Chlamydomonas reinhardtii: one gene and its partner. Each later gene encodes a partner of the first gene's protein in a complex. Links are inferred from orthologs where the notes say so. Each region holds a gene or a part of one and is shown in the gene's direction. Other genes may lie near its edges.

Region 1 (3,956 bases):
TGTTGGCTCTGATGGCCACTGCGGTTCTGGACGGGATGTTGAGGGCGGTCCATAGCTGGATCAACAATGGTAGGGACTTGAACGCCGGGCGCGTGTGCAACATGGGTACCTGTTTTGCGTTTGTGTCTTCCAAGTAGCAGAGCGATGGAGAGCGCATAAACCCGACAGGAATATGCCTACAGGGGCGATGGCGCCAAACATTTGATAGTGTTGGCGCCATGCACGGCGGGAGTGAGAGAGACGAGTTTGTCTGGGTCAAGGTCCGTTCAATGTCTGGAGTCTGGTCGTGAAATTGACAGTGTAGTTCGTTCGAGATGCCGTTACGTTTGAAGCCATATTCTACCCGAAAATCTTGAGGAGATGCCTACAGGGGCCGACCACTTGCGCCCTGCATCTCAAATGCCTATTGTTTTGAGCGGAGTCCTGGGTACGTGTGTGGCCGGGGGGCCCTGGTGTTCACCCGGTGGGGCCTTGCCGCGGCAGCGCAGCGAGAGCTTGCGGACCCCCATGCAGGCACGGTAGCGGTGTGTATAAGCTGGTGCTACATGGAGCATGCGGCTTGCGCGGCATGTTCCATACGCAACGGCGCGCGCTGCTGCGCTTGCTGGCATGCTGGGAGACGGAGCGGGGAAGTAGCTATTAAGTAGAGGGTGGGCCTCCGCAGGCCTCCAATATTTTTGAGTTGTAGTTCCCAAAAAGTTTGTTTGGGCTATCGCATATACATAGGTTTTGCACTGGTTGGATAGGGGAGGGCGGAGGGCGGCATGACGTGGCGGATGAGGTCTAGCCGTCAAGGTCGGCGCCGTCAAGGTTGGTGCCGTCAAGGTTGGTGCCGTCAAGGTTGGCGCGCATTGCCGATGGCCCGGGCGGTTTGTCTGGCGGGTGGCAATCGGTGACGGTGTTTGCCACTCCGGAAGAGTGATGAGACGTGGGCTCCCAAGGCTGTTGCACCAGCGGGTGCGGGGACAGACAACTGGGCGAAGAATCACAGGCTGGGACGGAAAGCGAGCCACGAGGCGGAAGAAGGATGCGGTGACCCGGATGAAGTGTTAATCTTGGCAGCATGCGCGTGAAGGTGTGGTCAAAGCGTCGTGTGCTGCGCGGGTGTGCCCTGCGCAAAGGCACCCTGTGTTGTTCCCAGCCCTTGCAGCGGGCCCAAGCTGACGTGCACGTCGGTATAACATCCGTGCAGGCGCACAAAAAGAGGCCCCTAATTTAAGAGTCGCACAACTGTAACATAATGTCGGTGTTGTAGACCGGAATACCATTTCAAAGGCAAACGCGGCCCTCATGCGCCCTCCTGTTGGGGCGAGCCAACAGCCGTGCCGCCAAAACACAGCTGCATGGAGTACAATCCGCTGGAAGCACTAACTAGTCGAATGCTATATACCGGCACTCACGACATTCACTGACAAACAGCGAATTAGACGCGAGATAGCAAGACGAGTCTTCAAGAATCAAGACACTGAACCTTTTCAGCAAGAAGCGACAAAATGATCTCGCAAGGATAGCATTTTATCGTTATACATATTGTTCTCGTTCAACGCGATAGCTAAACGTTGCGCGGCATAAGTACACAACTGTCTCGACCGCATACGTCTAATTGAGCACACGCATTGTTTTACTGCTACACATAAGACGTTGAAAGCAACTTAGCGCTCGGAGGTGAGCCATGGCGGCCGCCGGGGCCGTCGCCGTCAAGGTTCGCGCGCTGGTGCCCGGCGCCGACGTCGCGCTAATTGAGCGCGTTCTGAACGTCCACGATGCTCCGTCTAATACGACTTTCGTGTGTGTGGGCGACGAGATCAGCACGGAGGGGCAGGAGGGCTTCCTGCGCGGCCACGGCACGCAGGTCGTTGACGGAAAGCTCGTGGCGACCGTGTGCGGCGTTGTGGAGCGCGTGAACAAGCTCATCTACGTCAAGACACTCAACAGCCGCTACAACGCGGAGCAGGGTGACGTCGTGGTGGGCCGCGTGGCAGATCTGGCGGGCAAGGCCTGGCGGGTGGACCTCAAGTCGCGCCAGGAAGCCAAGCTGCTTCTATCCGCCGTGCATCTGCCCGGCGGCATCCAGCGCCGCCGCAACGCCGAGGATGAACTAAACATGCGGTCCTTCTTCCGCGAGGGCGAGCTCATCAGTGCCGAGGTGCAGTCCGTGCACGCGGACGGCAGCGTGGCGCTGCACACGCGCAGCGCCAAGTACGGCAAGCTGGTGTGCGGGCAGCTGCTGGAGGTGCCGCCAAACCTCATAAAGCGCCAGAAGCAGCACTTCCACACGCTCGAGGCTCTGGGCGTGGAGCTCATCATCGGCTGCAACGGCCTGGTATGGGTGGCGCCGCTGCGGCCGGACCGCCTAGCGGCGGCGAACGCCGCCGCAGGCGGCGGCGCCGGCTCCGCCGGCGCCGACGAGGACGAGGCGGCGGCGGCTGCGCCGCCGCCGCCGCCCAGCCGGATGCAGCTGGAGGTGGTATGCCGCATGGCGAACGCAATCCGTGTGCTAACACGGCTATACATGCCGGTGTACCCCGCGTCCATCATGGCCACCTACGAGGCGGCAGTGGAGGGCGAGGTGGCGCTGGCAGACATGATGGAGCCGGGCTTCCTGGAGGCGGTGGTGGGACAGGAGGCGCAGCGGCGCAGCAGCGCAATGCAGGAGTAGCTGCCGGGCTGGGCAGTGGGGCGGAGTGGGGAGGGACGGCGAGAGGAGGGGCAGGGGGGGGGCGGCAGCTGGAGGCAGCGGTACACGCCAGGGTGGAAGAAGCACGCGGGAACCCAAAAGATTAACTGCGCATGGCTGCGGCGATCGCATTTCCATTCAAGCTCATGCGTCAATGCTGGTGGGGCCCAGCTCGTACAGTTCGAGAGCGCCGTTGCGGGAGGAGACAGGGCTGGAGAGAAAGCTTAAGCTGAGGGCGCTGGGGTGTGTGACTGCACATACCGGAGTGCTGTTACTGACCATTCCCAACAGGGAAGGCAGTGCCGTGCGTCTGCTGGCAGCAGGAGGAACAGGGAAAGCAGGATGGTGGCGGTCGTTGCTGCCCATCCATTAGCAAGCGTGTGTCTGATGCTTTGGGCGCAGGGGGAGTGCGCTCGGTATGGTGTGGTAGACATGACCGGCGCTTGGCCTTGCGGCAAGCGTGTGCTGCTCGAGACTTGTGATGTATTAGAATATGCGGTCTCGTGCCTCCTGACGGACAGAAAGGATGAGTGAGCAGGCAAGTCTGTGCACATTGCCCTAAGCACCTGCTGCAGAGGTCTGTGAACAACGTACTGGATGAAGGGTGCGCTGGGGGCTGGACATTCTCGGACATAGGACAGTGCGCATTGGGCTTGGCGCTGGATTAGCATGTGGAGCTGGCCAAGCCAACTAGCCGCGGAGGGCACGCGAAGGGGCCGTGCTGTGCACGCTGTGGCGATGGAGCGCAGTGGTGGTGTTGTAAGCGAGCCATGTTAAACATGTCAGACTGCGGCTGTGCGGCATTGCGCATGCCTACCCATAATCCATCACGGTGCCTGACGCAGCAAGCAGCTTTGTCACCTCGACCCGCGAACTTGCAAAGAAGTGAAAGGACCGCATGCCGCGTGTGCGCAACGTACCTAGCCTAGGCAAAGTCCTAGGGCGGCTGTATACGGTAGTACACTAGGCACCGTACTCGTCAAAGGTCGTCAAGCAATGCATAAGATGAAGTTAAGTCATGAGCCCCTAGTGCACACACGTGTATGTACGGGCCGATTGAAACCTGCGGCACAGGCCACCAGCGGAAGCGGCCGCAGCCTCGGGTCAGGCACGGAGAAGCACGGTGCCTGGACGGCGTGGCGTGCTCGCACCAGCCGCCGCAATCAATCGCTACCTCCTTGCACGTGGCTCATGCCCGACGGTTTAGGGCCCCCAACACGCTGCAAGCCACTTCAGTATCTCAACTCAGCAAGGCACACAGGCTCACTCAGCTTTGGTG
Region 2 (4,258 bases), on another chromosome or scaffold:
CTATGAAACTGTAAAGGCCGGCCTGAGATAACAAGGGACCGATGATCCTGGCGTGGCCGAACAAAGAGAGCCTACTCCGTTGGCGGTGCATCAAGCGGTGTGTCCCACCCCCACGGAAACCACACCATAGCACAGCCGGTGGCCCCCTGCCGCCGCATAGCGCCCCGCCTGCCGCTGCCCCTCTGCACAGAGGCAGCACGCGCCATGTGTGCTCGCCGCTAACGGCGCTCACCGATGATTGTTTGCGACAGGTCTCGCCCCAGGCAGCTCAGGTCCTTGACGTAGTTGCCCTCGTAGGGGAAACACGATTCCCGGAATAGCCGCCACCGCACGAGCTGCTGCTTGTCGAGGAGGTCTAAAAGCGGGTCCGCGTACTTAGCGAGGCTGGCCGTGAACACCACCACCTCGAAGCGCGCGCCGACGCTCTCCATGAAGTGGTCGCACCACGGCCGCTTTAGTACGTACACGTCCACTAGCTTGCCGTCCACCTCCACCGGCAGGATATAGTCTGAGGCAGCGCGGACCGCCAGGAAATGTCAGCGCATGCGTGACCGAGATGCTCACTAAAGCGTGCACTGAACAGCAGCCGCGCGCCCGACACAACAAGGATCTATGTCCATGGATTGCTGGCGACCATAGCATTCTTAAGGATGCAATTCGGAAGCCCAACCAGCCGGCGACATGGAGGAGATGGAGCGAGTGCTCTCTCGTTCCTGCCCGACGAGACCCACCCGGGTTGGGGATAGGCTTGAAGGAGGAGTGCACCAGCGTCTCGTCGAGGTCCAGCACCAGGGTCTTCTTGCTGTGGTCGTCGGACCGTTTCGGCCCTATGAGCTGCTCCCGGTGCACCTTGGGGGGCTGTGGCGGAACAAAGCGACCGCCGCTATACTCTCCGTCTTGTGCATGCCGGAAGTACCCCTGGCTCTGCGGTGCGAAGCAGCAGAGGAGCGACCGGAACCGCCTTCGCCAGCTTTTGGGCTGTGGTTGCTGGGCTACGCGGAAGGGCGCCACCGGCCTGTGCGCTGTGACGGACGTGACCTGCGTAATAACGCTGGACACGTCGACGACGCTGGGCTTCTCGGGAGCGCCGGGCTGACTTGAAAGCGTTGTTGTGCCATCTGAGTCCTCCGCTGGCGGGCCTTCCCCGTTGACCAGAGGCTTCGCTAGTATGTTCTCGTCATTTTGAGGGTCGTGGGAGGAGCTTGGGGGTAACATCCTCCCCCGAAGAGAGAATTTGAGGCAACGGACTTCAACTCTTCGTTGGTAGAAGCTCTGAAAGGCAAGGGAAAAGTAATACAGTATTCGAACAATTGTTAATGCCCCCTCCAGCCAGTCCCGCCTCGACAAAGTTTTGCGGGATGAGTCCCCCCGCCAGCCCAAAGCCGGAGCTGTGTTTCGCCCGTGCATGCATTACGCGCTAACATTACCCCTACTCACTTTATTCTATTGCAGACTGGAAGCTTTTGTTACTGTCGAGCAGACTTTCAAGGCAAAATCCTCTACACTCCTTCATTTCTTTGGGGTTTCCAGCTCCATATAATTGCTAACAATATAAATACAAAAACGCGATTCATTAGTGTTATTCAATTCTGCCGGGCCTTGACGCCGTGGCCACATCGGCGGCAGCCCTGCTCGCCCCCTGACATATCCAGCGTCAGCCTTCCGAAATTCAACACGCTTTACACTCAACGAAGTGGTGACTGAGGCGAACACATAAGCAGCATGGAGTTTGTCTCGCCAGAGGGGCTGCGGCTGGACGGCCGGCGGCCGCGTGAGCTGCGGCGAATAAACTGCCAGCTAGACGTGCTGTCAAACGCGGATGGCTCGGCCATATTCGAGATGGGCAACACCAAGGTGTGTGTGTGGGGGGGGGGGGAGGGGGTAGAGTTCAAGGGGGGCGGTAGCCCAGGCAGGGGAGGTGCGGGAGCGGGGGCAGGGGGAAGGCTTGGGTGGCAGGCTAGCTGCAGCCACCACATTCATGGATTCACCCACGGCCCAGTCGCTCGAGGCTCATGTCGCATACAGCTATGCCCTCAAGTACGTGGCACCCGGGCTTCATACAAGCGCTCGCCCGGCCATGACTGTGTGTCTGTTTCCACACACTGTTCCCACACAATGCTTCCAGTATGTGCCTAGGCCCTTTGGGGTAGCCCGGTAAACCAGCCGCCCCGTGTCGGCTCCAACCCCACCTGACCACACGCCCTCACGACCCCGGGGCCGCTCCAGGTGCTGGCAGCCGTGTTTGGGCCGCACGCGGTGACCCGGCGCTCCGAGCTGCGGGAGGAGGGCGCGCTGGTGGTGTGCGAGTACTCCATGGCGGCCTTCAGCACGGGTGAGGGCGCGACAGGGCTGGGGAGAGGGCTGCAGGGAGGGCTGGAGAGAGAGGGCTGGAGGATGGTCTTGGTCAATGCCATAGGGCACAAAACAAGCCCCGAAGCTTGTCAGGAGGCCCGGGGCGGGTGAGGAGGGGTTATTTGGCCGTGCACATGGCGCATGCCAGAGCCGGAATGAAGTGTGAGGACCCAAAGCGGCTCCGCCGCCAGGGCACGGAGCGCTGGGCATGAGAGCTAGGTCCTGCAGCTCAGCAGTCCAGCTCCTGCTCCCCCCGCTCCCATGCTCCCACCCCGCCGCTCCTCAACCCGCCACGCCTGGACGCACTGCGCCCCCGCCTCCCCACGTTCGCGTGCCGGGCAGGCGAACGGCGGCGTCGCGGCAAGGGCGACCGGCGCTCTACTGAGCTGAGCATGGTGATCCGCAACACGCTGGAGCAGGCGGTCATCACGGAGCTGCTGCCGCGCAGCCAGATAGACGTGTACGTGCAGGTGGGCGATGCAGGACAGGCAGGCAGGCAGGGGAGGGCACATGCCCGAGCCGTGCGACGAGATGGGGAGTCAGAGGCGAGGCAGGCATATGCGCGCATGCGTGCGTGCGTGCGTGCGTGCATGCGTGCGTGCGTGCGTGCGTGCTGTCGGAGTCCAGTCAGCCACCTAGCGAGCATGCCCGAACAGCAGCGGCCAGAACTCGCAGCACGTGCAAATGGCTCGAGGCAAGGCCAGCGAGCAGGCGCGTCGTAGCAGGGCCAATATGAAGGTAGCCGGGTTTTCGAATGTGCGCTGACGTGGAAACCAGGCGGAAGTCAGCGGTGCCAGGGCGACCCCCGAACTCGTCTGCGTGCACACACACATACACGCATGCATGCCTCATGTGCCAGCCATCAACATTGCACACGCCGCGGCGCCCAGCATTCCCCTCTGCACTTCGCATCTGCGACATGAAAGAGATCCAACACTCCGTCTTGCATGGGCGCCATTTATCAGGTGCTCCAGGCGGACGGCGGCACTCGCTGCGCCGCCATCAACGCGGCTGTGCTGGCGCTGGCGGCGGCGGGTGTGCCGCTGCGGGACCTGGTGGCGGGCTGTGCGGCGGGGTACCTGGACGGCACAGCGCTGCTGGACCTGAACTACACAGAGGTGCGGGAGGGAAAGGGGAGAAGGTGTTTGTTTGACAGTTCCCGGTAGTCCAAAACCATTGCGGAAGAAATTGAGGCCCAGAGGCTCGTGACCAGCCCACCCTTGCGGAGGAGGTGGGGGCTGCGGGAAGAGACTGGCGGTGTGGGCATTGTCGGCGACCCTGTGGGCTTACCCTGTTCCCCTGTACGCGCACCTTCTCTGACGGGGTATTAGCCGTCCTTGAAAAGGAGGGCCTGTCCACTGTGCAACTGTTGCCCATCTTTGCACCGCCCCCCGCTACCCCTCTCGTGCGCACATGTTCTTTGCAGTTGCCCCTCATTTGTGCTCTCGCGCTCTCATTCTCATACACACATGCACATACATAGTCTTGCGGGCTTCCTTCCCTCGCGCACAGGACTCTGGCGGCGGCCCCGACCTGTGCGTGGCTCTGGCTCCGCGGCTGGACTCGCTATACCTGGTGCAGATGGACAACCGGCTGCCCGTGGACACATTCCAGGTGGGTGGGGGGCGGGGAGGAGGAAGAGAAGGGGGCCAGGACAGGACGGGGGGAGGGGCAGGAAGGCCGGGACAGGAAGGCTGGGGCGCAGACAGGGAGGGTAAGCGAGGGGTGGGCTCATGATGGTGCCACAAGCAGCAGTGCGGGGGCTGGTGGCGAGGCAGGGGCACGCAGACGATGCAGAGAGCGTGGGCGCAAGGGCGGCTGCCCTCTGACAGCCATCCCCCCCACCACGGTATGGAATGCGTCGCGTGTGCCCGCTGTACCTCTGGCCGTCGGCACTTCACTTCAT

What was found. Proteins that work in one complex are often made in the same cells at the same time.
Region 2: CHLRE_12g496450v5 (region 1) and CHLRE_06g284500v5 share a complex: the UniProt entries of both Arabidopsis thaliana proteins name them as parts of the RNA exosome complex. The link is inferred for Chlamydomonas reinhardtii from reciprocal best matches to the Arabidopsis thaliana genes RRP4 and RRP41.

The regions. Positions count from the first base shown.
Region 1 is NC_057015.1:3,431,919-3,435,874, reverse strand, and holds CHLRE_12g496450v5 (uncharacterized protein), read left to right. Parts: upstream 1-1,395; 5' UTR 1,396-1,672; coding exon 1,673-2,659; 3' UTR 2,660-3,452; downstream 3,453-3,956. UniProt on the Arabidopsis thaliana protein: Non-catalytic component of the RNA exosome complex which has 3'->5' exoribonuclease activity and participates in a multitude of cellular RNA processing, maturation and degradation events.
Region 2 is NC_057009.1:5,460,057-5,464,314, forward strand, and holds the start of CHLRE_06g284500v5 (uncharacterized protein), read left to right. Parts: upstream 1-1,421; 5' UTR 1,422-1,722; coding exon 1,723-1,854; intron 1,855-2,226; coding exon 2,227-2,332; intron 2,333-2,694; coding exon 2,695-2,822; intron 2,823-3,317; coding exon 3,318-3,470; intron 3,471-3,864; coding exon 3,865-3,966; intron 3,967-4,258. Other genes in the region: CHLRE_06g284450v5 (uncharacterized protein), read right to left, coding at 233-508, 732-1,215. UniProt on the Arabidopsis thaliana protein: Non-catalytic component of the RNA exosome complex which has 3'->5' exoribonuclease activity and participates in a multitude of cellular RNA processing, maturation and degradation events.